Astyanax mexicanus: one gene and its partner. The protein of the gene in region 1 interacts with the protein of each later gene in a pairwise test. Links are inferred from orthologs where the notes say so. Each region holds a gene or a part of one and is shown in the gene's direction. Other genes may lie near its edges. The genes, in order: poli and rev1.

Region 1 (16,936 bases):
TCAGCTCTGAGCTTCACTAACTTTCATTTTTCAGAGCTCAGCTCCTGCGTTTACACAGTTTTAAACACAGTTCAGCCAATCAGGTGTTTGAGTTTTACCACTTCTGTAATGTTCATTTGTCAGGAATTAACTTGAACCTGCGCATGTTTAACTACAGGCAGTGTAAATATTTTTTTTCACTAACTCCATTGTGTGCCTTACCTCTAGCAGGTAATGGTTCAATTAGAATAAATCACTCGTTTTTCATTTAAAAAAAGTACACGTGCATACTTTTTCAATGTTTTATTACTTTATTACTTTTAAAAGACAAACATATAAAACAATAGTTTTACATAACATTGAAACATAATATTGCAATTTTGTTTTAGTTTTTACAGGGGGTGTTTTTTGCAAATATTTGAGATGAACGATTTTCATATTATATGTTGATTACACTAAATAAGGCAAGCATAAAGATTTTCATACTGAAAAAATACTTTTAACTATTTTTCCTAGATCTTCAAACTTTAAAACGGGTCAAATTGACCCGGAACATACCAGGAGGGTTAAGAGTACGGAGGACCAAACATGACATAAGTATAGGTAAATAAATGCACATATAAATGAATAAATAAATAAATATATATAAGTAAATCAAATTAAATCAAATGTATTTGTATAGCGCTTTTTACAACTGGTGTTGGCACAAAGCAGCTTTACAGAAACATGATTACAGGACAAAGAATCAGGCAAAAACATTAAACATACAAAATACAGAACCCCCAGTGAGTGAGGGGTAAATAAATAAATAAGAAATGTACGTATTAATTTATTTATTTACCTATACAAGTATTTATGTGTGTATTTATTTATTTCACATTTATTTATTTATTCATTTATATGTGCATTTACTTATATATTTTTATTTATTTAAACATTTATTTATTTATATATATTATTTATATATATATATATATATATATATATATATATATATATATATATATATATATATATATATTTTTTTTTTTTTTTTCTCCCAACATTTATATGTGCATTTATTTATTTATACTTATGTCATATTTGGTCCTCCATATAAGAGACCAGCGCGAGCGCATGTTAATGCATCAATTTACTCAGCGTGACGTCATGCAGTAGCACTGCTGGCACGCTGCCAACCAACGCTCAGTGAGCGGGGCTAAACTGCCTTGGAACGCGCGTGTGTGTTTGTGGGAAGGGCACGTTCGATGACGTCATCGAGCGGTCTTATAAATAGAGAGGCTGCGGGTCTGTTGCACCTGTTATGATGTTTTCATTCCTGAAGCGTATTTTTAAAAGACAGATGACATCGAACCAGAACCAGCAGCAGGGGGACAGCGGCGCCTCCCCCGAGCCTGGAACCAGTCCTGTGGTACACATCTGCAGGAAGGCCTTAAGAAGGAGGAAGCACTTAGATAAGGAGCCTCCTTCCCCTCCCGAAAAGAAGAAGGCCCTCGTAGAGTTTCCTTCCGATTATAAAGAGGAGCTCATACCCCAGCAAATCCACTGGAGTGAGCTGTATGTAATACCCGGCCAGCCCATTCCCACGCCTCCCCACCTGCCCATCAAACTGGAATGTGCCCATCAAACTGGCATATGCCTTCCCTCTGAAGAATCAGGAGGAGGGGAGGAGGAGGATTACCAGGAGGAGACAGAGGATAGCGGGGAGGAGACGGAGTATTATGGGGAGGAGACAGAGGATAGCGGGGAGGAGACGGAGTATTACGGGGAGGAGACAGAGGATAGCGGGGAGGAGACGGAGTATTACGGGGAGGAGACAGAGGATAGCGGGGAGGAGACGGAGTATTATGGTAGTGGGGAGGAGGAGGAGATTGTAAAAAGGGGGGTGAAGAGGAAAAGAAAACTATGCGATGAGTAGGAATGAAGGGGTAGGAGCAGTGGCGTGCAGTTCTCCATCAGCAGCTGGAGTCAGAGAGAGAAAGAGAGGGAGTACAGTAGGTCATGCTGTTCCTCCATCAGCGGACGAGGCGTGTGCTAGTCTTCACCCTTCTGATGTTTGGGGCATTACTAGTGATGGGAGGAGTCCTAATACCTTGGTGCGATAAAAAAGACCTAGAGAATTAGAGAGGAATGAAAATAAAGTGCACATTATCTTCTAACCTGCTTCTGCTTGTCTTCCTTACACTCATGACTGAGTGTGTTTGTTTAGCAAAGGTTTACCATTCATTACTCTGAAGGTAGAACTTGTTTGTATTAAAAATAACACTGCACAATAAGACAAAGTAGCGCAAAATAAAATGGGTTTAAATAAATAATAATAATAAAAAAAAATTATATATATATATGTATACACGATTTAATGCAATAAAGGAAAATCACGCCATTCCACAAAAAAGCAATAAAGGAAGTGCCATTCCATAAAAACGTTCGATGACGTCATCAAGCGGTCTTATAAATAGAGAGGCTGCGGGTCTGTTGCACCTGTTACAATATGATTTCATTCCTGAAGCGTATTTTTAAAAAACAGAGGACATCGAACCAGAACCAGCAGCAGGGGGACAGCGGCGCCTCCCCCGAGCCTGGAACCAGTCCTGTGGTACTGGAGATATTTCCTTCCGATTATGAAGAGGAGCTCATGCCCCAGCAAATCCACTGGAGTGAGCTGTATGTAATACCCAGCCAGCCCATTCCCACGCCTCCCCACCTGCCCATCAAACTGGACTGTCAGTGTAAAGAAAGAGGAGGAGATATGTTGAGAGAAAAGAACGAGAGGCTTAGAACTAGAAAGCCCCTCTATCCCACACCTTTTTCACATAAAGACGAAGAAGACGAATACGAAATAGAATAGAAATCAAATAAATTCCCAAAACAGCAATAATAATAAACAAAATAAAACATTAAAACACACACACACATATATATATAAAGTTTTGTTTTGTTATTAACGATGAGGGCGCGTCTTGACTCATGAGGCAGTAAGAGGCCGTTTCGGATGTAGTAGTAGCAATGCTGGCACGCTGCGAACCGGCGCACAGTGGGCGGGGCTAAACTGAATTGGCACGTGTGGGCGGCCGGGGCTTGTCGCTCGAAGACCTCATAGGCAGTGGGGGGGGCCCCTGACACTCTATAAATATAGGCTGCTGAGTCCTGTTGCGCCAGAAGATGTTTTCACAAATTTGGAGATGGTTGTTTGGAGAGGAGGCCGACCCTTCTGCTCCCGAGGAGAAAGAGGAGGTGGAGGTGGAGGAGGAGGAGAAGAAGGATCTCGAGTCGGAGATGGATTATTTCTGGACGGAGGAGGATTATTACGTGGTGGTATCGGATTTTTTCGAGGAGGAGGAGGAGGAGAAGAAGGCGGAGAAGGAGGAGGAGAAGGAGGAGGAGAAGGCGGAGGAGGAGGCAGAGAAGAAGGAGGAGAAGAAGAACGCGGAGAAGAAGGAGGAGAAGAAGAAGGTGGAGAAGGAGGAGAAGGAGGTGGAGAAGGAGGAGAAGGAGATTATAAGAAAGGGGATAAAAAGGAAAAGAGAACTATTGGATGAATAGAAACGCTGTTTGTTGGTTCTTCCTGCGGTGGGTTCAGGGGATGAAGCTCATTCAGATCCAGGTTCTGTTTTATTTAAAGTTCTTCATGAACACAGACCCAGGAGCACAAACATCGCCAAAGAAACATGAATAACAGACCCACAGAAATATAACAAAAAGCAAATTTATTTTCAAGACACTTAAGGAGAAGCTGTTAAAGCGATAGTTCAGTACTCCATCAAATTTACACTTTACTCCACTCATCCTCTGTTCAATCCATCTATTCAGTAAACCAGGAGATATGATGAGGAGTTTGATGTTCTGTGATCTTTAGTTGATTAGTTTTACACTGGAACGAGAAAGCTAATGTAGCTAACATAGTCTCCAAGCTAATGTACACCAATTAGCGTGGAGGCTTGTTTATGTTGTTTCTGACACACTCATCTCTGAAATACATGCTAACATGCTAACTGGTGTACATACGTTTTCATCACTTAGCTACATTAGCAATACTAGCTTTATAGCTTTATAGTTACATAAGCAAAACAAGACATGTCTTTGCTGATGAACTACATCTGGAGGAATACATCTATATATGTATATAAACTTGAGTGTTCTGATCTATCGCTTTAATCAGAGCCGCTGTGCTGGAGTTTGGTGGATCAGGTCCGGGTGAGTTTGTCCGGAGGCATGAAGCCGGAGTCCCCCAGCGCTCTCAGAGCCACCCGGCCGCTCGGACGGATCGTCAACCACGTGATGCTTCCGTTATTCAGACCCATCCGCAACCAGCCCTCAGGGGGGAACTGCAGAGCTCTGTTCAGAATTAATATAATAATAATAATAATCAATGTTCAACATATCACTTTTTTATTTACAAAATAATATATACACACTACCGGTCAAAAGATTCAGAACATCCCTATCGTTTAGCCAGTCTATTATCAGTGCTGTAAGACAAGCTGCTTTTAAAATATTTTATCTTTATCTTATCAGTGACTATTACTGCAGTTCTTCTCCTGTCAGATTAATTCTAATTCTTCTCTTCTCTGCTGAAACTGAGACTCAGTCCTTAATCATGTTAATCTGAGCTAAAAGCTTAAGCTGCTGTTTCCATGTGGATCAGCCAGACGTCTTCCTGTAGCAGTTTTTTTATCCAGTTTCCAAGAGTCTTTATTTGAAGGTGTAGGAAACAGTACTCTGTACCGCTCTCTGACTTCATCTGTAATTTCTCAAAAGAAAAGAAAGAACTTCTACTTTTAATAGTAACAGAGTTCTCTGTGTTTTATCTGTGTTTTTCCAGTTATTATGATGATGAAAGTGTGAATATGTTGTGTGTAAGTGTGTAAATGCTGCAGTAAGCTGTCAATATACTTTTTTTAATAATACTAAAATGACAGTTTATTTGTTTACACTGGATTCTGTACCATGTTTAGTTATTTACTGGATCTGAAGGTCCTAAATGGCAAAAATAAGGGAACAATTGGGGGCGTTCCAAAACTTTTGACCGGTAATGTTAATGTACAAAAAGTATTAAATCTTAAAGTAATTAAGTCTTTATGGCAAAACCAAAGATATAAATGCATTAATACAATTTACTACATCAGATTTATCCACCTTATTCTGCCACGCCTACTTTCAAGAGTTAGTTTCTTTTGCATATTAAATGGTTTATAGTTGAGTATTACCTGACTGTAGCTTGCTACTAACCCTGGCTAGCACTGCTGGAACAGCATTAGCATTGGCCACAAACTACTAGCTTTTTAGCCTAGCGATTAGCGACGAAAGCTCCAGCCTTAGTGCTGGAGGAAACTGGAAATCTAAGCTTACTGCAAATAAACGAAAGTGCTTTACTCAACCAAATAAACAGTTTTTAAGAGAGAAATCTGTGTAGATTATCATCCAGCGCTCATTAAAATGTTTTCGTTTACTTAGATTAGCGTAGTATCTTTACTTATTTTTAGTAAAGCTAAGCTAATCTACCTATCTATCTACCTACCCCTATTCCTTACTTGTGTCGCGTAATGAGCCTTATAATCTATTGTGCCTTATAGTGCGAAAAATACAGTAAACAAATCTGGCCCCTCCTTTTCATCGCGCAGAATAAGATGGATAATGTATTTGTCTGTAAACGTCTTTATTTTTTCTATATCATTTCTCTCGCACACAAACACAAAAACACACTTGGATTAAGTTTATATTTTAAATCCAAGCATTTAAAATATAACTATGTTAATACAGCTGCTGCAGAGCTTGGTAATATTGTTTGGTGAATTTAGAATAATTCAGTAATACACCAGAGCTTTGCAGTCTGTATGAAAGCCATACCGTCAGCGCTAACAGTGTGAACGAACACACAGCTGTGAAAAGACACACACACACACACACCTGCACACAAAATAGCGGATGACGTTAGCGTGACAGACGATGATCTCGTAGCTGTCCTCCTTCTGTTTGGGGTCAGCTCGGTGGATGTAGCGCCGGAAAGCTGCCTCGATGCGCGCGCCGTCCTCATGGTACTGCTAAAAGCGGCACAGAGGATCACACACAGTGGCACGTATAACACCCACACACACACACACACACACACACACATACACACACATACACACACATACATACACACACATACACACACATATACACACATACACACAAAGTCGCTCTAAAGCTTGCACTGTTCTAACCAACAATTAAAAATCAAACTTGTCTCAGTATAAATATCTGTGTACTGTTTTAATCAGGTATAAATGTATAAGCATTAGCTTATAAAATCAGCAGCATCAGCATAAACCACAAGTGCACTTTCAACAATTGCTAACTTCAATTTAGAGGCTGGTCTTGAATTAGTGGATATAAGTAGATATAACTGGGTTCCAGTAAAATTTTCAAGATCTGAGTTGAAATAGAAAGCAGACTAACTGATGCATCTTCAGACCCACACTAAGTGTGTGGCACAGGTGTGATACAGGTGTGGTAAAGGTGTGTAGTAGCACTGACCACAGCCTCTGGTTTCCAGTGAGTGACGGGTGGGACGGGCTCTATGGGTGCACCCTCTCTCAGCAAATCACAGCTCACCATCTCCACACCTGCAACACAAAGTAATGAATTACTACACTCAGTATTTCAGTATTATTACACTGTAATAGTACTTTTTACAACATAAAAACACCAGTTACTATTACATCACACTTTCAAGTATTCAGCCATTCTCACAATTGATATGAAGGGCTGGTACAACAACAGTATTTTTTCTGGACGATGCATTGGTTTAGAAATTATTGTAAAGGTTAATAAAGGTTGTTGTCATTTTAAAGGACTGATTTTAAGATTTTCTGCCACTGCAATAATAACAAATATGTATAATTATTATCAGCATAATTATATAGATGCAGTATATTCCCTTTTAAAGAGCAACACGTTACCTGATTAATCGGTTCTCCTCGATAAGTAAAATTGTTTACTGTTGTGTTCATATATTGTACAATAGATCAATAACGTAACTGTCACATGCCTACTGATGTGACAAAAGAGCTCTGTTCCGAGGGAAAATACATTGTGGCCAATCAGAGCACAGCCCATGGTGAAACACTTATTATTATTTAAGTGTGAGTGGGTGGGGTTAACGTGCACTATGTGAACAGGTGGAGATATGTGAATGTACTATTTTTGTGACATCACAGAAACATTTTTCTAGGTAAGAAACCTTTAAGTATCTCACCTGGCAGGTATCTGCTGATGATGCTGGCCGTCTCGGTGGCTCTGGCCATTGAGGAGTGTATCATCACGTCGTACTTCAGCCCTAAATCTGCCAGCCTCTGTCCCAGAAGCTCAGCCTGCTCACGGCCTGTAACACACACACACACACAAATTTAATAAATAAAATAAAATATAATATAATATATTATAATAAATACTATATAAATAATAATATATATAATAAGTGGCCAGTGGTTGGGTGTACCCAGTGGAGTGAGTGTTCTCTCCCGGTCTCCGTTTCCGTTCAGGTTGTACTGGGAGTGGCGGATGAGGAAGATGTGGCGGGTGGCTCTGGGTTTGTTGTTCTCCACCTCAGTGCTGTTCTCCTCCCCACTGCTCTCCTTCCTCCTGGGGCTCATCATCGTGGACGGGTCCCTCCTACAGACCGAGAGAAAAGCACGATAAAGCAGAGTCCCTTCCCCTGTGGTGGAGTTTATGTGTTTGTATTTTCATTCATGTGTTTTGGTCAGTTTTGGTAACTACATTTATTTTGAAGAAGGCCAGCTTGAATAAAATCGGATCAGCCCGGGCTGTTTGGGAGTAAACCAGAGCTGTGTGGGGTAAACCAGTGACAAGTAAACCTGTGCTTTGACGGGTAAACTAGTGGTGGGTAAAGCTGTGCTTTGACGGGTAAAGCTGTGCTGTGCCGGGGCTAACCTGTGCTGTGACAGGTAAACCAGCGGTGAGTAAACCTGTGCTCTGACGGGTCGTGTAAACCTGCGCTGTGACGGGTCAGGTAAACCTGCGCTGTGACGGGTCTGGTAAACCTGCGCTGTGACGGGTCAGGTAAACCTGCGCTGTGACGGGTCAGGTAAACCTGCGCTGTGACGGGTCAGGTAAACCTGCGCTGTGACGGGTCTGGTAAACCTGCGCTGTGACGGGTCGTGTAAACCTGTGCTGTGACGGGTCAGGTAAACCTGCGCTGTGACGGGTCAGGTAAACCTGCGCTGTGACGGGTCAGGTAAACCTGTGCTGTGACGGGTCAGGTAAACCTGTGCTGTGACGGGTCGTGTAAACCTGTGCTGTGACGGGTGAATCAGTGCCGGGTTACCTGTCCCAGTTGCTGTCCCAGCCGGAGCCGGAGCTGTAGACCGGCAGGCCCGCGGGCTGTGTGGCGGGGTGAGCGGCGTGCAGCGCGCTGAGAGCGGCTGTGATCGGCGCTTTACTCCGCCAGCTCTCTCCGCGGTCCTCCCCCAAATAACCCCTCCATTCCGCCCACACCACCACCGCCGAGCCGCCAGCCAGGCCGCACACCAGCCCCGCGGCCCTGCGGAAAGCCATGCCAGAGAGCGAGTAGAGTCCGGGAGAAAGTACCGGGAAACGCCGCCGAGTCCGGAGCTACAACACCAGCCGCTCAAACCTGCATGATAAAAGCTCCAACTGCTGCTCCAAACTTATAGATAAATATCACATATAATATCCTAAACTACAAAAATATTATATTTACTGTTTTACAACAAAACAAGAAAAGTTATACAATGAAAATCATTAAAAACACGCTTTATTTCAGCTAATAACGAACTACACACACAGCTACTAACCAGCCAGCTAACGTTAACAGATTAACCAAAATGGCAGACGGGTCGACAAAATAAAAGTCTTCACCAAAGCTAACCAAATAGATTAGATCTTTCATTTAATATAGTCAAACAGAAACTTTTTTCAAACATTTTTTTTTTCAATTTTTAATATTTTACATTTTCTGCCCTTCACAAACAGAATTTCAGGAAAGAAAAAAATAATTTAATAAAATATTTTTTCTTTACCCGATTTTTTTTTCTTGTAACAAAAACTCATAAAGACGTTATAACCCAACCCTACTTTTGTTACAAGACAAAAAAATAACCAAATTACCACCATTTTGCCCTAAAAGATAGTTGTTTCAAAACTATCACGAATAATATTAAGGGAATTAAAGGAAAGAAAGGAAAAATAATTTAAATTTTTGTACTCAATTAAATAATGAGGTATTACACACCTTTTTAATTTAGAATTTATCCTGAAAAAATGCAAATGATAAACATTACACCTCATTTTCTTTTATCTAGTTTTATCTCGTTATTAATTTAATGTAACTGTATTTTTTGTCTGTATGTGGTGAGGTAGTTGTGAGGCTCCGGGCCGGTAGGGGTCAGTGCGGCTAAGCTGCAGCGGCTCCGCAGGTAAACTCGAGTTTATAGAGGAGATCTGTGTTTTTATTCTCTTTAGTTTACCGTTTCTTTTCTCCCTGTAAAATCAGGTGATGGACTCAGGTGAGGAGGAGGAGGAGGAGCCTGGCTGGGCAGTGATGGAGACAGGTATGAATTCTGACTCTCTGATTTTTTCTTTTTAAAGAGCTCTAAACCAAAAACACACTGCAGTAACAGAGCTGCAGCTACAGTCAAACAGCAGATCAGCAGGGTTACGTGGTACAGGTGTTGGTTACTAAGGTGTTTTTGTGTTTTATGGTAATATGTTTGTTTAAATTAAGTTTCAACATGTAATTACTGGTAAATGGTAGAATGCAAATATATTTGGCTTTTAAAATTGTCTCCACAAACATTTGGCTAAATGTTGAAGTCCTAAATCATTCAGCTAAATGTTATAGTTCAAAAACGTTTGACTAAATACTGGAGTGCAAAAACATTTAGCTCTAAAGGTTGACGTCGTAAAACGTTGGGGAGTCCACAAGTCTTTGGCTAAATATTAAAGTACAAAGAATTTGGCACAAGCATTAAAAAACAGAATCATTAGGCTAAACGGTGGAGTCCATAAACACTGGGCTAAATAGAGGAGTCCAAAAAAATAAAACATTTGGTCAAATGGTGGCGAGGTCTAATCAAATATAATTAGGTTAAATGGAAGAGTTCAATAACATTTGGTTAAATATAAGAGTCAAATAACATTTGGCTAAACATTAAAGCCTTAGTCCAAAACATTTGGCTATTTGGTGCAATGCATATATATTTGGTTAAGAAAAATGTGTCCAAAACATTTGGCTAAATGGTGGAATGCAAATACATGTGGCTAATAGAGCTGTGTCTACAAACCTTTGGCTGAAATATGGGGTGTCAGTTTTTTGCCCAAAAGATGTTGTTCTGGTTTCAGGTGTTGTGGGCGGAGCTGTGGAGGACAGTCAGAGGGTCATCCTTCACTTTGACCTGGACTGTTTCTACGCTCAGGTGGAGATGATCAGAAACCCCGCCCTTCGGTCCAAACCTCTAGGTGCTGAAAGCTTCTGTATACCTGTAAAAATACTGTATCGGTTTAGTGCGTTTAATCATTAGTTTAGTTGTAAAGATTGTAGTTTGTGTGGTGTTGGACCCGACCCTGCCGGGGAAAGTGTCGGGAAATCAGGCTCGGCTCGGCCTCAAGCAGAAAATATAAACTCTTCTAATCTCAACCTCTCGTTTCAGGAGTTCAGCAGAAGTACATCATCGTGACGTGTAACTACGTGGCGAGGGAGCGCGGCGTGACGAAGCTGATGGGAGTGAAGGAGGCGCTGGAGAAATGTCCTGATCTGGTTCTGGTGAAGGGAGAGGACCTCACACACTACAGAGACATCTCCTACAAGGTCACAGGTACAGCAGATCCAGCCCTGTTCTCTACTGGTATACTGTACAGTACTGTTTAATATTCCAACAATCGTAGAATAAACTCTTTTAACCCTCCTTATGTGTTTATTTGTCAGGAACATCAATGGTTTTCCCGGGTAATTAATTACTAACTCCATTACTAATTATACTATCAATATTTACTGCAATGATGTTCCTTATTTCTAACAGGTAATGCTTCAGTTTGATTAATTCACTTGTTTTTACATAAAGAAGTTTAATCCTTAAATACTTTTGAAAGACCAACATATAATAAAACACCATAGTTTTACATTTAACATAAAAAAATAACATTGCAATTTTGTTTAGTTTTAGTTTTTGCAGAGGGTGGTTGCAAATTTATGAGATGAACCATTTTCATATCATACGTTAATTACTTTAATGAAGGCAAGCTGAAGAAGTTTCATACTGAAAAAATACTTTTAACTAGTTTTCCTAGATCCTTAAACCTTTAAAACGGGTCAATTTGACCCAGAACAGAACAGGAGGGTTAATACCGTAAATTTCAGAATTAACAATAAATGAGCAGCCGTCCCGTTACTTATGTCCATATGCTGTGTGTGTGATGTATTTAATGAGCTCCAGAGGAGCAGAAGGTTGAGGTGATGATAAGTGATGATGGGTAATGATGGGTAATGATGGGTGATGTTTCTGTAGAGTATGTTGGTTTGTATGAACTGTTATAATCACTACTCTGGCTGAGCATCCACTTTCGCCCGGTCACTGTGCGCCCTTGTGGATGCAGCGGAGCACAGATGCTGAGGAGGTGTTAGACAGTTCTCCAGAAAGAGATATTTAAGCATAAATCCTGAGATCTCTGATTTTGTGTTTGTGTTCAGAGCTGCTGATGTCGTTCTGCCCCCTGGTGGAGCGCCTGGGCTTTGATGAGAACTTTGTGGACGTCTCAGAGATGGTGGAGACCAGGATGAAGGACACGAGTATCTCAGATCTCTCGTTCGTGGGTCACGTCTACGGACACGAGGGTAAAGCCATGCACCCAATCACACAACACTAATCATCAGAACTCACACCACCCAAATACAGTAGGCCTGAACGTACATACCATATTGTATCGTATGTGATAATATCATGACATTGTGATATTTTTGAAAGCATATATACAGGCACTAAATATACTGCACTTAAGTTTTGAGGTAAATTAAATTTTTTTTTCTTGTATTTTTTATTTTATACAAAATCAGAGTTTTGTTAATTTACTGTTAATGAAATAGACAAACGTTTTTAGGCATTTTTGTTTTTACTAAATGTGTAAAACTGTTATATATATTGCAGTACTATATTCTCAATATGAATATGAAATGAAAAACAAAATAAGCCCACCCCTAGTCACCTCTCAACAGCAATGTTATTTTATTCTTTATTTTGTTTATTGTGGATGTAAGCTAGATTAGCGCTGAAGCACGTTTTATTTTGTTTAACAAGTGGAGGTGTACACGAGCGAGTGCAACGTCCATGATAGGATTAGCCGGCTGACTATTGACTATTGTCAGGGTTTAATCAGTCAGTGGCGCACCTGTATTTCCTGCCACCAAGATAGAGACACACCGGATATTTACCAGAATACACCTCACCTCCAGACCACCACGCCCATCAGTTTAGATATATACCTAATCTCTGATGGATGTACGATAGGGCCCAATATCTGTAATGTTGTGTGTCTGCAGCCTCGTCCGTGGGGGTGGGAGATCACTCCAGGCTGGCGGTGGGATCGGCGATCGCGGCTGAACTGCGGGAGGCGCTGAGGAGCAGGCTGGGGTTGACCAGCTGCGCCGGCGTCGCCACCAGCAAACTCCTGGCCAAGCTGGTCTCCGGAGCCTTCAAACCCAACCAGCAGACCACGCTCCTCCCCCAGAGCAGCGCAGAGCTGATGAACAGCCTGAGCGGACCCTGCAAAGTACCTGGTAAACACAAAGTACAGCTCTGGAAAAAACAATAAGAGATCACTTGAAATTGATGAGTTTCTTTGATTTCACCAAATTAAAGAGGAAGATGGATGATCACAAACCATCAAACCACCAAACTGAACTGCTTGAATTTTTTAACCAGGAGTAAAGCAGCATAAAATTATCCAAAAGCAGTGTGTAAGACTGGTGGAGCAAATAAATGCTATAAATGACAATAGTTTTATTTGGAATTTGGGAGAAATGTCTGTAGTTTGTTGTTTTATTCTATAATGTTCATTTTAGTCAAACATAAACCTATAAATATCAATATCAGAGAAACTGATTCAGAAACTGAAGTGCTCTCTTAATTTTTTCCAGAGCTGTATATATAGCAGTGGGGGTAATGATGGTGACCGGCAGTTTCTGGCTAGAAATGTCCATGTGAACAACAAAAAACATCAGTTTCTTCATCCACATTTAATGCAGGAGACTCCGCCCACATATCCCACAGCTCAGCGCTCAGTGTTCTTTAGCTTCTATGGGACACGCCACGAGGGAGTTATTCTATTATTACTGTGTAATTATACACTGATACGCCAAATGTCATGGGACAGAAGCTAGCATTACATCCCATGACATTTGGCGTTTCAGTGTATAATTACACAGTAATAATAGAATAACTCCCTATTCATCAAGAACACACTGTCTTGCCACTTTGTGCATTCACTCACTGGCCACTTTATTAGAAACACCTACTCTAAAGTTTGAAGCTGATGAGATTATTGAAATATACGCTAAAATACGAAACAGTTGCAAAAATTGTTGGAAAATAAAATCCTTATTTTTATAAAAGTTGTCACCAGAGGAAAGCATTAAGGTAACACAGTGGATCAACACCAGCAGATGACAGACATGTCTCTCCAAACCATCACTGATTGGTGGAAACTTCACACTAGACCTCGAGCACTTTGGACTGTGTGTCTCTCCACTCTTCCTCCAGACTGTGATCCCTTGATTTCCTTTAAATGAAATGTAAAATTTACTGATGATCAGTGATGGTTTGATGCATTGGCGTAGGAACCGGGGGGGGATAGGTGGGACATGTCCCACCCAATATTAGAAACAGGTGGATTTGTCTCCCCCAAAAATGACATCTTTTCGCTCAGACCAGCTGTACTATTAATGAGGAGACAGACCGGACCAATCACGAAGCCGGAGAAGCAGTTTGCTGTTGGGAAGCCCCTCCCCCTCGCTGTGAGATTTAGCAGAGGGATCGAGCTGCAGCAGCTTCAGCTGATTTTAAATCAGATCTGGATATACGGAGATTTTACTAAAAGAAAGGTAACGGTAGGCTAACCACTTCAACTGTGATGATCTGTTTCTGATAGCTGGTTAAAAATACACGTATCTGAATCAGCACACAGATTAAACCCACTGTGATTAATAAACTGCAGTTGTGTTAGTGAGTTAGCTTAACTTTGGAATTAGATAGATTGGGAGTCAGGGTTAAAGAAAAAAATAAACTATAAATGTAATGTTCAACTTGCCCTGTACCTGATCAGCTAATTACTGTTTCATTTTCAATTAATTTAGTATTACAGGGCTTACTGTGAGCTATAATGAACGAAAATACATTTAGCTAACTAGTTATCTAGAAGCTAGATGTAGTGGATAGACAGAATGTAGTACAGTACTTTATGTTTGTAGTTTAAAGCAGTTTCCTAACCCTGATCACTGCCCCAAAACTGTGTTTTCCACCTGATCAGCTAATAAACAGTCATTTACTGAGTTTACCTGTTAAAATACTTTAGCCCCCTATAGAGCCTAAATTAATCATGTATATCCAGCAGTGTATTAGACACATTATACCACCACTTACTTTATTAAATGCCTTTAAAGCAGAGGAAGCCATAGAATATGCAGAACAGTGTTAATATTCAGTAGAATATGTAAGAGCAGGGTTGAGAAACACTGCTGTAACGTGACTTCTGTTCATTTGTAGTTCACAGTAAGACCACATGTCCTGATGTTTATAAAAATCTCTATGAAACGTAAAGTTACATTCTTTTACATAAAAGGACACCATCTTAAGAAGAGCTCTCAGTTAAAAAAAAAATAAATGTGCGGCATAAAATGTAAATATACAACAGAATTGACATAATAATAATAATAATAATAATAATAAACAAATCTGTTATATTATTTTAAAATATTAGGTGATAACTGAACATTTTGTCATATGTATATAATTCAGTCATTGCATGCAGTAACTGTAACGTGGAGTTACATGTTTAAGTTGTAAAATCACCTTATAATAATAATTTACTTTTAATTAAAAGTAATTTCCACAAATGTTGTTCTAGGAAACTATAGGGTGGGCCTGGGTTCATATTGGCAAATGTGTCCCTCCCAATATCAAGCCCGCTCCTACGCCCTTGGTTTGATGGAGAGTCATGTCTGTCATCTGCTGGTGTTGATCCACTGTGTTTTATTATCAAGTCTAAAGTCAGTGCAGTTTTGATTTTCCACAAAATCTTACAGCACTTCATGCTTCTCTCTGCTGCTGAAAACTTTTATGGAGATGTGGATTTCATTTTCCAGCAGGATTTGGCACACTGCCCACACTGCCAAAAGTACCAACTGGTCTTGTATAAAATTCTAATTTTCTGAGACACTGATTTTTGGGTTTTCATTGGCTGTAAGCTATAATCATAAACAATAAAAGAAATAAACACTTAAAATAGATCACTCTGTGTGTATTACATCTATATAATATATGAGTTTATATAACATTTTCAACTGAATTACTGAAATAAATTCAATTTCCAATGATATTGTAAATTTTATTTTATTTTATTTTTTAGATATTTAATTTTCTGCTCATATTTATTTAAATTCTCTGTTTTTAACCAGACTTCTGGTCTGCAACCTGATCCACTCCACCCTCTGCTTTATTTGAAACACAAATGAGTATAAATGATATTCATTTCTCACTGTTATAAGCTGCATGCTGTCTGCCATTCAAATCATTTGATATCACTGTCATCTGATCCAGCATCACCTGATCATCTCACCTCTCTATCAGATCCGATCTCCTCCTCACCTGCACCTACCTGACCCAGCACAACCGTGCAGGTGCACTAGTGTGAGCTTTTTGGAAAAAAAAGGTTTCCAATAAAGTGGCCACAGTGAGTGGAAGCACAAAGTAGAGTAGATGTTTTTAATAAAGGGGCCACACTGAGTGGAAGCACATATTAAGAGAAGGTGATTCCAATAAAGTGGCCACAATGAGTGGAAGCACATGATAGAGTTGGTGTTTCTAATAAAGAGGCCACAATGAGTGGAAGCATATAGTAAGCGCAGGTGTTTCTAATAAAGTGGCCACAGTGAGTGGAACACATAGTAAGGGTAGGTGTTTCCAATAAAGTGGCCACAGTGAGTAGAAGCACATAGGAGAGTAGGTGTTTTCAATAAAGTGGCCACACTGAGTGGAGCACATAGTAAGAGAAGGTGTTTCTAATAAAGTGGCCACACTGAGTGGAAGCACATATTAAGTTTATGTGTTTCTAATAAAGTGGCCACAGTGAGTGGAAGCAGATAGTAAGAGAAGGTGTTTCTAATAAAGTGGCCAGTGTATTGTATATTGTATTTACTGTAGTTTTGTGTGGTGGCTACAGGGATTGGCTACAGGACGGTGGAGAAGCTGAAGGTTCTGGGCGTGGTCAGTGTGAGGGATCTGCAGCTGTTTCCTCTGAGGGATTTGATCCGTGAGTTTGGTGAAGTGAACGGCAGGCGGATACAGAACCTTGCATGCGGCGTTGACCTTTCACCTGTGACTCCTGCAGGACCTCCACAGGTAACACCAGCTCTGGACATCAGCATGTCTTATAGTGATTAAGGTCCTGTTTCACTGTTTTTGTCGCTTTGGAGCGAAAGATAATAGTAATAAATACAGTGAAAAAAATATGCGAGGTGCTTGTCAATGGTCTCAAGGTAGCTGATGGCCAGGAGGTTGAAGACTAAGGGTAAAGTCAGACTCCGCCTCTTTTTGAACTTCTTTTGCCGAGCTAACGCTCGAAGGAAAGCGCAGCGACTCTGGTCTGATACATCAGCTCACAGATGCAGCCTTGTGCTGATCCACATCACCCTAGGAGTGATGAGGGGAAAGAGAGAGCGCCATCT
Region 2 (16,701 bases), on another chromosome or scaffold:
TCTGTAAATTCCTGTATAAAACTGCATCATGGTGCATGTCATTAGCTGTTTGCTAGTGTAGATGTTCTGATGCTCACTGCACAGATTTAAGTGATGTAGTCCTGAGTGAGAGAGCTGTTACTTTAGTACTAATGTTTACTTCCTTTTTGAAGCACATTAGTTTTTTTTTTACCAATATGTAAATTTGAGTTAGGAAAGTAAGCTAGATTAATAACGTTATTGCTGATTGCATATTTAGACTGAATATCATGCTAAACCAATAGAAAACCAATTTCTCATTTCAACATTATTTCTAACAATGATAATTTGCTGAATGTATTTCATATTGCTTGTTCAAAACAAATAGAATTATAATTAAACAGATTAATTTTCTGTTTCATTATTTTTACTTTGTGAGCATTTTGATTTCGTTTTGAATTCCTCTTTTGCAAGTTGTGGAACATTTTAATATGTCAGAATTTATTCATTCTGCAGGGTTCATTTTAATTGCATTTAGCAACAACCTAATATAAAGGCAATAGTCCATGATTCTAGGACAAAACAGCTGTAAGTATCAGTTCACCAAAATCACAACAGAAATCTGTGATTAATCACACTTTATTGTTCTTAAGACTAAGCTTTTAATAATGAGTATTTAAATGAAAAAGCAGGGTTAGATTGGCAAAATCTATTTATATTATTAGTGTCTATTACTTATATTTTTGCATTACACAAGAATATTCTGTGATTAAATAATGATTAAAATTATTATTAATTTAATTAATATTAAATGCTGGTATTTCGCTGTATTTTGTGTTGTCATGTATGCCATGCCTTTCAGACTTTCATCATTTAAAAATGGCAATATATTTATCACCACAATATTCTGTGATTTAATCATTATTTTTTATTATTTCTTTAGTTTTTTTTTGCTGATATGTTCCTGTCTTTTTGGGAGGGTGACAAAAAATTGTGAAGTGAGGTATGACTTTCATGACATTACATTACATTATATTGTATTTACTGGACACCAAAGGGTTGTTGTGATGTTTTTACATTAGAATATTTTGATGTGCTAAGTTACTGCATGTATCTGAGAGCAACTGTGGAGGAAAAGCTAGCGTAGCTTTATATTCCACTTCAACAACTTGAAAATAGAAAACTTGCAGTTAGATTCGCTAATACATCACCAGGCTCTGGAAACATTAGTAATTCGCATAAAAATTAAACATTAAAAAAATTTAAAAAAGTTTCCAAATGAATGGCATGCATTGCCAGTCCTAGTTTAAAGCTGCTTATGAATAGCTAATTTGCTTTCTTACAGATATTTTTTGGGGATATTTTCAAAAAATATTTTTTGCCTGCCATTCACATGAGAACAATGTTTTTCGTCATATTTACAGACTCATAACACATGTACGGCTTTTTTATTCAATTTAATTCTAGAGTACACTTCTTAGTTCTCTTCTTCAACATGTGTTTTGATGTAATTTTTTAGGAGGTACAATCCCTCTTTACTGGGCTGGCAATTTACTGCCGTTTTGAGTGGTATTGTGTTTCTGTGCTGGTGTGGATAAAGATATTTTTTTGAATGCAAAAAAAAAAAACATTTGTATTTAAAAATATATATTTTTAATGTGCACAGGGCCTTAGATTAATCTACTCAACTCTGGGAGCACTTTGATTGAATATTCTCTCCTCAAACTACTCACTGCTACTTAAGTAATAGAGGTAATAAAATGTAATGTAATTGTACTGCTGACTGACATGTCTTTGTGACAGTGCACAGAGACAAGCCAGAGACAAAAAAGAAAGCCTCAGAACATGACAAAGGGGTCAGGGCAGGCAGATATAACAGAGGCAAAATAATCAGGTCCCAGAACTATGCAAGAGGTCAGAAATCAAAAAGACTAACAACACTCAGACTAAACAACACAGACACACAAAATAGACAGTGAGAAGTACTTGAGCTGTTGCTGTATCTTGTCATGATGGGTCTCAGGTGAGAAGCCAAGCTACTAAAGCACATGGCTGGTGCAATCCCCACTTATGCCAGCAGAGGGAGACATAACACTGGCCATGCATAGTCTAATTCAGAGGTTCTCAATCTGTGGTATGGGTACCACTGGTGGTACTCAAAGCATCCCAAGATGGTACACTGCATGACCTCATAAAAAATCTGCTTGCATTAAAATATTTATTACTGGAATCTATAAAGTTTTCACCTGTTATTTCCATAAGATTACATTTGTTTGTGTTTAGTGCTTTACCTATTTTTTTACCCTAACAACCACCATATTTTTCGCACTATAAGGCGAATCGGATTATAAGGTGCAGGGGAGGGATGTGGTAAAGCTAAGCTTAGTAAACAAAACTGTACTTCTTAAAAAAAAAATCTTTTAAATTCAAAGGAGCACTGAATGTTAATCTACACACATTTCTCTCCTTTAAAAAAATGCCACGGTTAGCGCTACTAAATGCCACCTGACAGTGCTACACTGAGGAACCATGAGTGTTCCGGTAAGCAATATTAGCTAGCAGTTCATTCCACATAGTTTGTTTTAACACGGTAAACGTGCAGGGTACAGTCTGATATACTTGCCTCTGAACAGCAAAACATCTAGTGCTTAGCGTGGTTAGCAGCTAATGCTAATGCTGCTCCAGCAGTGCTAGTCAGGGTTAGCAGCAGTCTACAGGCTGATATACTCGCCTCTGAACAGAAAAAGATCTAGTGTTTAGCGTGGTTAGCAGCTAATGCTAATGCTGCTCCAGCAGTGCTAACCGGGGTCAGCAGCAGGCTACAGACCGATATACTCGCCTCTGAACAGCAAAAGATCTTGTGCTTAGCACAGTGAGCAAACAATGCTAATGCTGCTCCAGCAGTGCTAGCCGGGGTTATTAGCAGGTTTTAGGCTGATATACTCCCCTCTGAACAGCAAAAGATGTAGTGCTTAGCACAGTTAGCAAGTAATGCTAATGCTGCTCCACCAGTGCTAGACGGGGTTATTAGCAGGCTTTAGGCCGATATGCTCCCCTCTGAACAGCAAAAGGTGTAGTGCTTAGCACGGTTAGCAAACAATGCTAACACTGCTCCAGCAGTGCTCGCGAGGGTTATCAACAGGCTACAGGCCGTTGTACTCGCCTTTGAACTGTAAAAGACCTAGTGCTTAGTATGGTTAGTGGCTAATGCTAATGCTGCTTCAGCAGTGCTAGCAGGGGTTAGCAGCAGACTACAGTCTGATATACCGGCCTCTGAACAGCAAAGGATCTAGTGCTTAGCGTGGTTAATGGCTAATGCTAATGTTGCTCTAGCAGTGCTAGCCGGGGTTATCAGCAGGCTACAGGTCAATATACTTGCCTCTGAACAGCAAAAAATCTAGTGCTTAGCGTGGTTAGCAGGTAATGTTAATGCTGCTCTAGTAGTGCTCACCAGGGTTATCAACAGGCTACAGGCCAATATACTTGCCTTTGAACTACAAAAGATCTAATGCATAGTATGGTTAACGGCTAATGCTAATGCTGCTCCAGCAGTGCTAGCAGGGGTTAGCAGCAGGTTACAGTTCAATATACTCGCCTCTAAACAGCAAAGGACCCAGCTAACGCTAATACTGCTTCAGTAGTGCTAGCTAGGATTAATAGCAGGCTACAGGTCAATATACTCGCCCCTGAACAGCAAAAAATCTAGTGCTTAGCGTGGTTAGCGGCTAATGCTAATGCTGCTCCAGTAATGCTAGCCGGGGTTATCAGCAGGCTACAGGCCGATAAAACTGACCTCTGACCGGTGAAAGAGCTAGTGCTAGCCGGGGTTATCAGCAGGCTACAGGCCGATATACTTGCCTCTGAACAGCAAAGATCTAGTGCTTGGCGTGGTTAGTGGCTAATGCTAATGCTGCTCCAATAGTGCTAGCCGGTGTTAATAGCAGGCTACAGTTCAATATACTCGCCTCTGGACAGCAAAAAATCTAGTGAAAGCATGTTAAAAAAAATAATGTGTGGCAAGGACTGACGAGTAGGAATGAGAAGACAATACTGCATATGTATACTGTATACTGTCTGTATACTGCATATGCCATGTCTCACTGCAAGAGACTCCAAAATACTGCCATAGTTCATTCCAAGATAAAAATAATCGACACCACCTGCTGCATTAGCAAAGCCACCAGCATTGTGGATGACCACACCTATCCCTCACACTCTCTTCATTCTGATGCTGTCTGGCAGAAAATAACAGAGCATCCGAGCCTCCACTACCAGATTCTGCAACAGCTTCTTCCACCAGGCGGTCTGACTCCTCAACACACAGAAATGGAACTGAGCTTGGCTCATGTTGAACCATGGTGCTGGAGGAAAGTAATTTCATTGCACTGTGTTCTTGTACAGTTTATTCCAAATTAAACTCATCTCATTGTGCTTCCACTGGTACAGAGGTCAGTCCTAATCCAGCCTATCCACATCATCAGTGCTTTTACTACTACGAGTGCCCTTATAGATGTATATGTTGAAATCTGGGGGGGATGCTCCCGTAGGAGAATTTCTTAAAACAGCCTAAAATTGTGTTTGTAGAGGTTACTCAAGAAAATAAACTCTAGGAAAGACCTGTTTATCACTTTCTACTGCTGCAGGGTTTGGAGCATCAGGTTAGTGTACCAGATGTTCACGGGTGGTTGACATGACATGGCCTTATTTTCATTCAGTGTGTCAAATATATGTAAATTATAGAAGAATATGTCAAAAACTGTGATAATATTGTTCAGAAAGTGCTGTGCAAACCAGAAAACGCTCACATAATAAACCAGATGTCTACTTATGAGTCTGCTTTGCTAAAAGTTTGGGCATAATATTTTAGAGCCCCCATTAGCAAAAACATTTTGTCCCAAAAATAAAAGTCATATGGTGATGCCATACTCCTTTTTTTAAACGGGCTATTGTTTGGACACCTTAAGAGAGTGGGGGTTCTCCTTCTCTCAGGATGAAGAACAACACCTCAGAAGGACACTAAAGTTACAGGATGTGTTATCGCTCTTTATGTTTTCAGAAAAATCAAGTATATCTAGCACTCCTGCTTCAGTTCCATTTTGCACTGTCATATGTTGTGACACATTTTACACAAAAATGCCAAATAAATTACTTTTCAGTCAATATTACCTTTAAAACTATATTGTCATTATTGTAGTTAGCATGGTTTTATGATGCTAGCATAAAGACACATTGCTTAAACTCATGCTAAGTACATGAAACGTCATATGATTTAACACATCATACGGTGTGACAGGGTTTTCTTATCACACCATATAACAATTTTGTCACACTATAAGATATAAACTGAATTTAAATACATAAATAATGCTATTAGATACATATGTTATAGCTAATAGTTAAGTGTTTTAAATATTTTATTAGTTTAACACATTTTTATAGTATATTATTCACAAATGTAATATTTAAACAGCAACACTCACTCATTCATGCAGATTCACTGACTTACTCAGACTTCTGAATGCAAAAGAAAAAGTTTAATCTTACCCAATTGCAGTCCACTGTATCATAAACCTATGGTTCTTCTGTTTGTTTCTTTAAGTAGAAGCCAAATGTGTCACAATGTTTAGTGGCACACTGATTTTAGCAATACATCCACAGCCATTTGCGGCCCGTTTTCTTTTTTTGGAGCGGCCCGCGAGGTATTTTAGAAATAGAATGAAAGTTGGCCCGCTATTAAGCAGGTTTTTATAATGTGAGATTCAAAGTTTGAATGCTAGGTGTCAGGAACGGGCCAAAGAGTCTAAAAGCGGAGAGAGTGCACATTTCTAGCGCAGAAAAACGGGCCAAATAGTCTAAAAGCGGAGAGAGTGCGCATTTCTAGCGCAGAAAAACGGGGCAAAAGAGTCTAAAAGCGGAGAGGGTGTGCATTTCTAGCAGAAAATCGGGCCAAAGAGTCAAAAAGCGGAGAGGATGCACATTTCTAGCGCAGAAAAACGGGACAAAGAGTCTAAAAGTTGCCATCATTAAGGAGTTAAATATTAAGAGACATCATGAAATTAAACATCAATTTGAAAAATATTAATTTTCTCAACATTGTCAAAGATAAAGATAGTAAGTCAAGTAAAATGGTCTGTAAATGAAATAATCAGGAAAAAAGTATTATTTAAAGTGGTATATTTTATTATTTGTTTTATTACAGAGTTTACAAAGTTTGGACACCCCTGTCATAGGGTGTGACATTCAGGATTTTAAAGAAATTAAGGATTTTGGTTATTTATCATAAACTTTTTTATGTGACATATGAGGAATAGTGCCAGCAAAGGTTACAAGAATTTTGGCACTTTTATAATAAGGTATTCCCAAAATAATTTCAAGTATATTGAAAGATTTCGATGAAACGTCTTCCTATGTGTGTAGATAATAAAAAAAAAATGCAAAAGGTAACATATTTGCATGTAAGCAATGCTATACTTTTATATAGTAATGATAAAGAATCAGGATAAATTAACGTACATTATCATATTATACCCATTTTTACTAAGACTGTAAAGAGTGTAAAGACTGTAAATTTCAAGAAAAAAATTATAAGACCATATATAGATTTGGAAAGATAAGGGTTGGTACAATATAACCCAGTGATTTCCATGACTTAATTTTGAGATTTTTTTTTTCAGTCAAATTTATCAACCACCCACAAACTGTGAAGAAACACATCCAGCAACAAACTATTAACAGTGCCCAAAGAATCATCAACATCCAGCTGCAACCCTCTAGGGATATATAGCTCCTGCTAACATCCCAGAATCTCCACTATCAGCCATCAGTGAACCAACACACCAACAGGATGTAAAACACACAGAGGATGCAGTGGGATCTAATTAAGATCAGTGTTTATCAAACCACATGAAAGTAGACAAATTTAGAGTTAGTTCTGAGGTAAGAAACATGTGTGATGTGATTTTAAACATGTGATGTCAACAGATGATTATAATCTGAATTTGGTACAAAAGCAGTATCCATGAATAGCTCTTTGAGAAGGAAAGATGGGCAGAGTATCTCCACTTTGTAATAAATGCATCACAAATGTATTTAAATATCTTAAAACAATGTTTCATGAAGACTGAAAGGGATTTGCGTATTTCTTCCTCTAAAGTGCATATTATCATTAAGCTGTTCAAAGAAAATGAGAGAATGTGACATAAGCCTAAGCTAAACACCTATGATAGCTGATAGAACCACATGGCCAAAGGAACTATTTTGGCCAACTTTTTCCATCACTACAATACAGAGTTAATTAAAACTTTACTGTACAAAACAGAGGCCTTATGTTAACCACGTCCAGAGTTGTTTATTACTAGGACATGTATGAGACACTCATCAAGTGAGAAAATAAAACAGTACAGACATTACAGTAAAAACCAATAACTACACCTTTACAGTATATATATACCCTGTAGTCTGCTTTATTTAAACAATAACTTTAAAGATCATTCCAAAACAATTTGGAATAACAAGGTTTACACAATTAAACATCTAATTTCTGTTTTGAAACTTTTGTGCAAAATGAAAAGTTTTGTTGTGTAAATTTGGAAAAATATATAATTGCATTGGTAGATGTTATACTTTTTGTTTATTTGCACTTTTGACTTTATTATAAAGCCTTACATCTAAGGTAAAAAATTAAGCTGTATCAGACTGACAGCCTGTTGGGACTTCCAGCTGTACATGCACGGTGATAACACCGGGGGGCAGCACAGTGTTTGTGCTTTGCTTTGACAGTCACTCTAGGGCAGATCAACATTAACGTTAGGCATATAAGTCTCTATATAACTCTGTTATGTCTTATTGTGATTAGATCTGAATTTTAAATCTTTTTATGCTGTTTAATTTTTTAATTTATTTATTTAATCTGAAATCTGAAAGGTTTTTTTGTAAATATTCAGTTTAGCCACTGCGACAACAGTAATGTGGGCCACGGGCCGGCAGGTGGCGCTGTGAGGGCAGCGCAGGCCCGGAGAGTCTGACCTGGCGCGCAGGAGGCGGAGCTTCAATGGAAACAACGAGAGGAGGAGCCGGAGGAAGGAGAGGGGCTACAGAGAGCGCTGAACGGCGCCTGGCGATGGAAAGCGGAGATTATGAGGGGAGAGGGAATCTTCTGAAGCCCCGAAAACATGCTCTCGATATCCAAAGACCCGTGTCTGCGCGGCTGTTCCGTTAATACTGGGTTAAAACACTGTTGAACGGTTAAAGTGGACGCCTCGGCGGAGCCTGGGAAACAGCGGCGCGCTGCTTCGGAGTCGATTATCCGGTAGAAAAGGGGAGAATAGGTGAGCAGCAGTATTCGCTTTTCAGATGATTCAGAGCCCCTGACACGAACAGAGAGACAGCCCACAGTCCAAACACACACCTGGATAAGAGCCGCTGCGGTTTGTTTGTGTTTGTCTGTGTCGTAGCTGTGTTGTTATGTAACGGTTATGTGTCGTTGACTTCAGCTGCCTTTTCCTCCAGTCTTTCTGTTCTCTGGTCTGGTGTGTGAAAGTGTGCTGTGTGTTTACAGCGCTGTCTGACTGGAGATTAACTCGGTTTAATCTGAATACCACAGCACCAGCCCGCTCCAGCTCATTTAGAGAACAATTAACTCGCTAATCTAACCTAGCTAACCCAACATAACCTAAACGGCCCCTGTCTGATTTAGCTAACGTTAGCTGGCTATGTGAGCTAACAACTACACACAGCACTGTCTGTCCGCTAACCCAGCTCTCTCTATATATATTATCCAGTGTCACCCTTCGCTCTGGACATGTGTTTAAATATGACCGCCATCGTCAGTCCGCCCGGTAGTAGTAACCTTACTCAGTCCTGCAGGTCAGTAGTTGGCATGCCCAAGCTTGTCCTGGTGCAGCTCGAGTCAGGCATTAAACCAGTGTGACTGACATTATTTATATATATATATATTTATGTGTGTGTGTGTGTGTGTGTGTGTCCGGGTGGGCTGGACAATGAAACGTAGAGCTGAATTATGGTCCGCGTGTGACAGTTTGTTTATGTTCGGGAACTTGGACAGACTGCTGGTACACCTGCGACCCTGGTGACCCCTTAAGCATGTGCTGCTTTCAGTAAAGCAGTCAGTGCAGCCGAGCTGGGCAACGAGGATCAACAGGCCGATTTAAATAGTTACATGAGTACTGCATTAATGCAGATGTGGTTATTAAATTAGGTTTTTAATGGTTCTTAGTTTGCATTATTTGCATTTATAAAAATAGAATGATTGTGTACAATAAAATGTCAACAATTCATGATATTACATTTTTGTATCTCTCCTAGTTGGAAAAAAAATTATATTTACTTATTTTTTAACCCTTTATTGCTTATTATCATAGCTAATTTGTTTGTTTGTGTGCGGGAGTATAAGCTCTCAAAAAGTAGGGTAAAATATATGAAAGAAGAAAACTGGCAAGAATGACTGCAATGGAGGTCTGCACATACAAACATCTAAAATATTCGGAAAAATAAATATGCCAGCTCAGGTAATTTCATCATTCAAAGAACGTCAGTCAGAAACATAGGTTGTAAAATAATGTGTGTTGAAATGTCAGTGAAGTAAATATGTTTGTTATTGTCCAGTTCATGTCCAAATGTTATTTTGTATTACTCCAGGTCCAACTAAGATATTGTTGATATTTGGCTTGTGTTAATTTATAGTTTCCTAAAAGAGGTCTTTATTTGGTATCTTAAATGAAATTTACATACCTGAATTATAATTATTTTTTAATCAATGGTGGGTATAACACTAGGCGGCCAGTCACTAACAGCTTAGTACACTGCCAGGATCACAAAACCCAAGATTAAAAAATAAGATTCCAGAGTGCCTGGCTAGGGAATTAATTGAGAACCGACATTTAGATCCTCTAAGAAATGTAATAATTTTCCATGTATGGTTTTTATATTACTTATTTTAATACATTTTGTTAGTAATTATTGCTAAAATGTCTGTTAATGCTAATACACCCTAAACAGCTAAGCAAAGAAAAAAAAAAAGCTAAGAAAAATGCAATGGTGCATGAAATACATGAAAATATCCATTCATTATTTGTGTGTAAAATAATCAGTGAAAATGTTTGTTGGTTGTAAAATTCATTTGACATAATTTTGCCCAGAACTTGTGATTAGGCATCATTTTATTCATGGCACAACAAGATGTGTGGTCTGGACGGTAGGCAGACGTGTTGATACTGTGGCTGCTGACAAAGGAATTAAGTTTGCTAAGCCACTTTGAGGCTGAGGCAGTGTTTTAATGGAGATTGAAATGAGGTTAGGATCATTTATCACTGACATGAACATCTTCTGGATTCAGAATGCAGTTGTAATTGGTACCGTCTAGACATTTAAATACTTTCTCCTCTTGAGTCCAATAGATTTTGTTACTATTTTTTTTTTTTTACGTTTTTAATGTTGTGATCTTAATGTATCAGATGATTTGGGATGTTTCTTTCACATTAGCTATTTGTTTATATGTTTTATACGATTGAACTGTAGTTATTTTTTCAATTAACAAAGAGCCTGCCGAATTTTCTTACTTATGTTTTAAATGTAATTTCAGTAAAGTCAGATGCAGCAGTTGGGGTTATGTAGAGAGAGTCAGGGATGTGTAGTGGGACTGAACAGTGCTTTGTGCAGTGCAATGTGGTGGTTGTTGGGGTGTTACGTTCAATGAGGTGTGCAGCTATATTGGCAAAATGGGCTTGATGGCTGCTGTAAACAGAATTGATCTGATCTCAGGCCCTTTGCTGTAGTCCAGGGGTCTGCTTCTCGATTTTCTCTTTCACTCTGTTCATTAGATTTCACAGATGCTATTTAGGGCTAGTAGAGTAGTTTGATAAGGATATACTGTACATATTTGGCTTCATTAAAAGTGGAGCCATAAAACCCAATCCGCTACATAAACATTCAAGTCTCTATCTCACTATTTAGCATGGTGCCCAGTGCATACCTAAACCATCACAGAGGCAGCATTTTGGGTACAGATAAAATTTTGTTTATTGTTGTTGCTGGTATCAAAACCTTGATATCTTGCTTAAATCTGCTCTGGTGAGGAAACTGTGAAACCCAGCAGTTCACTGAGTGCTCCCAGCCTCAGTGTTTAACCTCCCACTCAAACGCAGCAAGTGTGCGAGGAAAGAGACAGACCCTGGGAGGGATGTTTGACTTTACTGAGGAGAGTATTTGACTGATGAGAACAGTAGCGTCTGCACCATGTCTGTGTGAGTCGGAGGCATGGAGATTCAGTCGATATGGATCCCTGTGGAGAGAGAGATGATGTGTGTTTCTGTGTGGCTGTCTGGTTCTGTATCTGTGCGACATGTGGCAGTGAGGACACTCGCAGCATAACAGAGCAGGCTGAACAGTGACATGCAAGAGAAAGGGGGTGGTTCCCTTCTAACAAAGCTCATTCAGCATCAGTGTGCTGTTAATAAGCTGCCAGCAGAGGTGTTAAACTCCCCTGCATTTTTGGATGGAGCATTCCATACCATCGAGGGAAGAAGATAAGAGTCTACAGTAGAATTAGAGAGGCATTTTTCTGTCTGATAGCTTGCCTGCCTGCCTGCCTGCCTGCCTGTCTGTCTGTCTGTCTTATTTCTAAACTAGGATTTAGTTCTGCCAGTATACACAGATCAGTCATAACATTAGCACCACCTGCTTCATATTGTCTAAAAATCCCTTGTACCACCACAACAGATCTCACCCTTAGCAGTTTTTCTGCTTTTTACACATCACACTCAAGAACTGACTCTTCATTTGTTGCCTAATGTTTCCAGAAATTGATGACTAGGATATATTTCTGATTGTAATATGTTGCTTACCCTAAATAATCTAAGCTTAGGTGGCAGCATTGTGTTAATGTTCTGCCATGATCATTATGTTATTGTACAGTTTATAGACAAGACCCCATTTATATTTTGTGCCTTTGTATGGGGCCTTTGTGAAAAAACATTGTTTTTATTTTATGTATGCTTTATTTATTGGATATTTCAAAATTAAAAAGTGTGCAGTTGCTTTATTAGGCTATTATGTTTGCATTATATAAGTGACATTAAAATTACAATAATATTATTTTCCTTAGTTACTTCTGGGACAGTGTATCATCCAAACAAAAAAGTTCCAAGGTTACATTTACCTACATCTGGAACATAAATTATCAATTATACCGCCACATAATGAAAATGTACGAAATCATAGTTGTATCTTATTTCATTTAAACATATTACTTTTGCATAAAAGTATTTTTAGTAGGTGTAGTTGAACAGATGCATAGATTGATACGATAATGTCAGGACACACATATTTAATGAGGGGAAAACACATTGGTGTAATTGTGGTACCATACAGCTTCAGGGTACCAGCCTAAATCTGGCATCTTTTCTTCTTTCTCAGGTTCCTCAGCATGAGTCGAGATGGATGGAGGAAGAAAGCTAGTGAAGATGATGGCTGGGGAGGACGGGTAAGATCACTGCATTCCAAAAATGTGCCTTAATGTTTGTTCCAGTTAATTTTAGGTGTGGAGGGGCGTGTTATGAGTTGTTGGAGTTGTCTAGACATTTTCATGTGTATTCTAATGGTGAGTAAACTCAAAAGTAAAGCCTTCACCCTACACAAGTACACAAGTTTGTCTTGAGATGTTACTGTACATGTATTTGCAGTATTTTAGTTTTCTGGCTAAAGCATTGCTGCAGCTGCTTATATATTCTAAGTTTTTTTTAATTGAATATGTTCCACCTTGCAAGCAGCTTTATATTAAATGTGGTACAAATATAACCTTCAGATATATTATAAAAGTCACTGCTACATAAGAGTTTTTTTTTTTATACAGTTTTTTGACAGAAGCACAAGCCTGTCTGCTGTTAGACTTGGCATCAGGGTTAAGAGATGCCCCTGTTTAAAAATTTACAATGTACCCCTTTTTGAAATTAGCGTTAAACAGTAATTTAAATAAACCAAATTAATTGTCAATGAAAATCGCTCAGCACTAGTATGTGGTCTGTATGGAAGGCCTGGATTTTCCAGATATGCATTTCCAGAGTGTATTTTGAGACTTTAATTAAATTTATGTCTTTGAATGTCTGACTGGCTTAATTAGGTCTGAAGGAATTTTGGGATTTTGGGATGGAGGTACTGTAGCTGCAGAGGACCGGTGTGCTGGGTTTTTCCCTCTTTTGTCTGTTTATTGGTTTAGACTCAACTCCTGAATCCCAGCGTTCTGTCCGTTGCCATGGAGACAGAGTCGCTGTGCCAGCAGGCTCACACCTCCAGTCTCATTGAATGTCTGCAGCGTAATCAGACGCTTGTCAGCCAGACACTGCCCAGCTCTTTCTTTGTGCGTGTCTCTGTGTTTCTACCAGCTATTCTCAGCAACTCAGGCTTGCCCTTCCATTTCTAAACTTGGAAGTATGAATGAGTTTCGATTACTGTTTACAAAATCTATCTTGTCTGTTTATTGTCTTCCTGTAAATGAATGGATGGATGGATGGATGATTGGATACAGGGAGGCTACATGGCTGCTAAGGTTTCTAAGCTGCAGGAGCAGTTTCAGAAGGATGCTCCCAGAGAAAAACAAAATCGGGGAGCCTCATCCAGCATCTTCAGTGGAGTGGCTATCTATGTTAATGGATACACAGGTCAGAGGGACGTCTTTATTTTTGAACATACTTGCATAGTCTTGAATAGGCCTGTCACTATAATTATGTTATGGACTTACTGTACAAAAGATATACAGTGCCCTCCAAAAGTATTGGAACAGTAAGGTCAAAACCTTTGTTTCTGCTGTAGATTGACATGAATTTGACTTTAAAATATTTATATGAGACAAAATATCATCATTTCAGTTTTTATTTTGAGGTATTTACATCTGGATCTGATACTCAGTTCAGAATATAGCAACTTTTGTCTGAACCCACCCGTTTGTCTTGTGAGCAAAAGTATTGGAACATGTGACTGTCAGGTGTGTTTTGTTGCCCAGATGTGTCCTGATACATTAATTATTCAAACAATAAACTCTCAGTTTCAGATTTGCAAAAGCTAAATATAAAGTCTTATTCACTTTAATTTACTTTAAGTTAATCTGTTCCAATACTTTTGCTCACAAGAACAATGAGTGGGTTTAGACAGAAGGTGCTATCCTCTGAACTGTGTATCAGAGCCAGATATAATAACTGGAAATAAAAAGTGAAATGTTGATCTATTGTCTTATATATCTTTTGATGTCATTTTCATGTATTTGTAATATAATGTATTTTCAGTTTACAGCAGAAATGGGATCGGCCTCACTGTTTCATTACTTTTGGAGTGCACTGTACATCACCTCAATCATTTTTGCCCACCTTGAAATCGCCGATTGTGGTTTTCTTCTGTTTGTTTTACGAATAAACTTTGCCAATATTTTGCATGTTGCATAATGACCAATTCATTAAGAACAGCATTGCTATACACAGTTTTGACAGCAGCAAGCGAAGACATATTTATGCACAGTACCAGTCAAAGGTGTGGACACATTCTCATTAATATTTGTTTTTTATTTGTATTATAAGATTGTAGATTAATATTTAAGACTTAAAAACTATAAAGGAATACATGCAAACACCTGTCCATAAAAAACCCAAAGCAGGGGAGTTGATAAGAGTTGGAACGCAGAGTGAAGAAAAGCAGTTAACAAGTGTTCAACACATCTAGGAACTCCTTTAAGACAATTGGAGAACCATTCCAGGTTCTATTCTTTTGACAGAAAGAATAGAGCCAAGTGTGGGTAAAGTTGGCATCAAAGCAGGAGGTGCTAATCGGAAGAATCTAAAATATAAAACAGATTTTGGCTTCATAATTAAATGTGTTACTTCATAGTTTGTATGTTTTCAATATTAATATACTATGTAGAAAATAATAAAAAAAATAAAGACAAAAAACAATTTGGGAAAGGGTATGTCCAAACTTTTTACTGATACTTGACAGGCCTTGTCTTGCACATACAGTCTGTGGGGAATATTTTTCAGTTTGAATTTTCATAAAATTTCTTTCTTTTGTTTTTGTTGTTTATGCATTATTACAATTGTATGTAAGTTTCTACTTGTACTGTTATTATGCTTGCAAAAGTCTGGTTTGAGAACAGTGTGATCTGGACTATGTGTCTGTCCTGTCCTGTGTTTTGATCAGACCCCAGTGCAGATGAGTTGCGCAGGCTAATGATGCTACATGGAGGACAGTTCCATCTGTATTATTCACGGTCCCAAACTACACACATCATTGCCACCAACCTGCCAAACAGCAAAATAAAGGAGCTAAAAGAGGAGAAAGTAGTACGGCCAGAATGGATTACTGACAGGTTTGTGTGTATGTGCTGGGGACACATAATGAGGTCAATAAGTAAACATGCTAATTGTTCAGTGCTTCAGTTTGCAACATATGAATTAGTGGTCTCTTAGCAAGTAGTGTAAATAATATTTGACAATTTATTAGCTTTCAGCATGGTGGGTTACCGTTGTTTAAGTAGTAAAAGGCTTTAGATTAACTGTTAAAATATGTCAGGTAGAGCAGCAGGCCTGTTTGCCACTGACTACCATGACTTTGAAAGTTGGAACATCTGAGTACATGCATCACTGGTGTTGATTTTCCTCATGATAAGACCCTGATAAATTTGAAAACTTTGAAAAATTCAAAATGTAATCTATATCTATGTTTATGTCATATGTCCCATTCTGTGATTTCTGCTTTTAAGGTATCCTTCTGCAACTTTTTCAAAACACTTTTCCTTGTTGTTTATGTAATACAGTAGGTCTTCCTGAAGTGTATATGCATGCTGCACATGAAACTGTTCCTAAAACCTCAATTGTCTGCAGTAGCAAGTAAAAAAACATTCAGAAAAACGAGTCGAGCAAGAAAAGCACCCATGTCAACTCTTAATTTAGTATTCATGGCCTCAACCACCTTGGCTTGCGACCACCCACAGGCAGTGCTGAAGCAAAGCAACAATGCAGCCTTTTTAGACAGGAGCGTTAGGAACAGTTCGTTCCTGTGTTGTTTGTGCAAATAACACATCAGTATTATATGCTTTGCCCAGTAATTCAGAGCTAGGGAACAAATAGTTAGTATTTGTCTTTGGAAAACCACCAGCGAAGTACAATTGAGATAAAAGGCGGATTTTTACTTTCTGGACCTGGACTACCCACCTCTGTGTAAGCAACTAGGTTAACATAGGATCTCCGTTTTACAGAGACTCTAAGACTGGGTCAGTGGCTGAACTTTCAGGAGAAAGTTTTTTTAAAGAACATTACACATGTTGTAAAGTAACATATGACATTGCAAAGACTGTTATTAGTGTAAAAATGTGGTTATTTTAACTGTTGCCTGTCTTGCTGCCTTGCAGTGCTGTTGGCCAATCAGAGGTGATATGTTTGCATGTATGAATATTCATGAGCAAGAGCCAAAATCCTATCGTTTTTCCTCCACCAGACTAAAGCACTGTTATACCGGATCACCGGAACACTTTTTTTTTTCTTTTCACAAAACAGCTCACATGGCATGCATTCATACTAGAGACTACAACTAGGCATTTTAAATAAATACAAAAAAAAGATAGAATGAGACCTTTAAGATTTCAAAGGCCTTTTATAATTACAAATCTTCTGAGGACTGAAGGTAAACACCCAAGTGGTTCAAAAAGAGATTTTCAATATAATGGTTTGTGGACTTTAAAGTGTA

Evidence for each region.
Region 2: the proteins of poli (region 1) and rev1 interact in a two-hybrid assay, tested with the Homo sapiens proteins (2 studies listed by BioGRID). The link is inferred for Astyanax mexicanus from reciprocal best matches to the Homo sapiens genes POLI and REV1.

The regions. Positions count from the first base shown.
Region 1 is NC_064429.1:10,970,689-10,987,624, forward strand, and holds the start of poli (DNA polymerase iota), read left to right. Parts: upstream 1-9,362; 5' UTR 9,363-9,419; intron 9,420-9,425; exon of another isoform or gene 9,426-9,496; 5' UTR 9,497-9,499; coding exon 9,500-9,554; intron 9,555-10,344; coding exon 10,345-10,461; intron 10,462-10,652; coding exon 10,653-10,817; intron 10,818-11,689; coding exon 11,690-11,833; intron 11,834-12,535; coding exon 12,536-12,772; intron 12,773-16,431; coding exon 16,432-16,610; intron 16,611-16,936. Other genes in the region: pgam5 (serine/threonine-protein phosphatase PGAM5, mitochondrial), read right to left, coding at 4,164-4,314, 5,887-6,020, 6,499-6,587, 7,220-7,345, 7,463-7,635, 8,309-8,538. UniProt on the Homo sapiens protein: Error-prone DNA polymerase specifically involved in DNA repair. Plays an important role in translesion synthesis, where the normal high-fidelity DNA polymerases cannot proceed and DNA synthesis stalls. Favors Hoogsteen base-pairing in the active site.
Region 2 is NC_064418.1:24,898,966-24,915,666, reverse strand, and holds the start of rev1 (DNA repair protein REV1), read left to right. Parts: upstream 1-8,007; 5' UTR 8,008-8,285; intron 8,286-12,390; 5' UTR 12,391-12,400; coding exon 12,401-12,457; intron 12,458-13,498; coding exon 13,499-13,631; intron 13,632-15,156; coding exon 15,157-15,325; intron 15,326-16,701. UniProt on the Homo sapiens protein: Deoxycytidyl transferase involved in DNA repair. Transfers a dCMP residue from dCTP to the 3'-end of a DNA primer in a template-dependent reaction.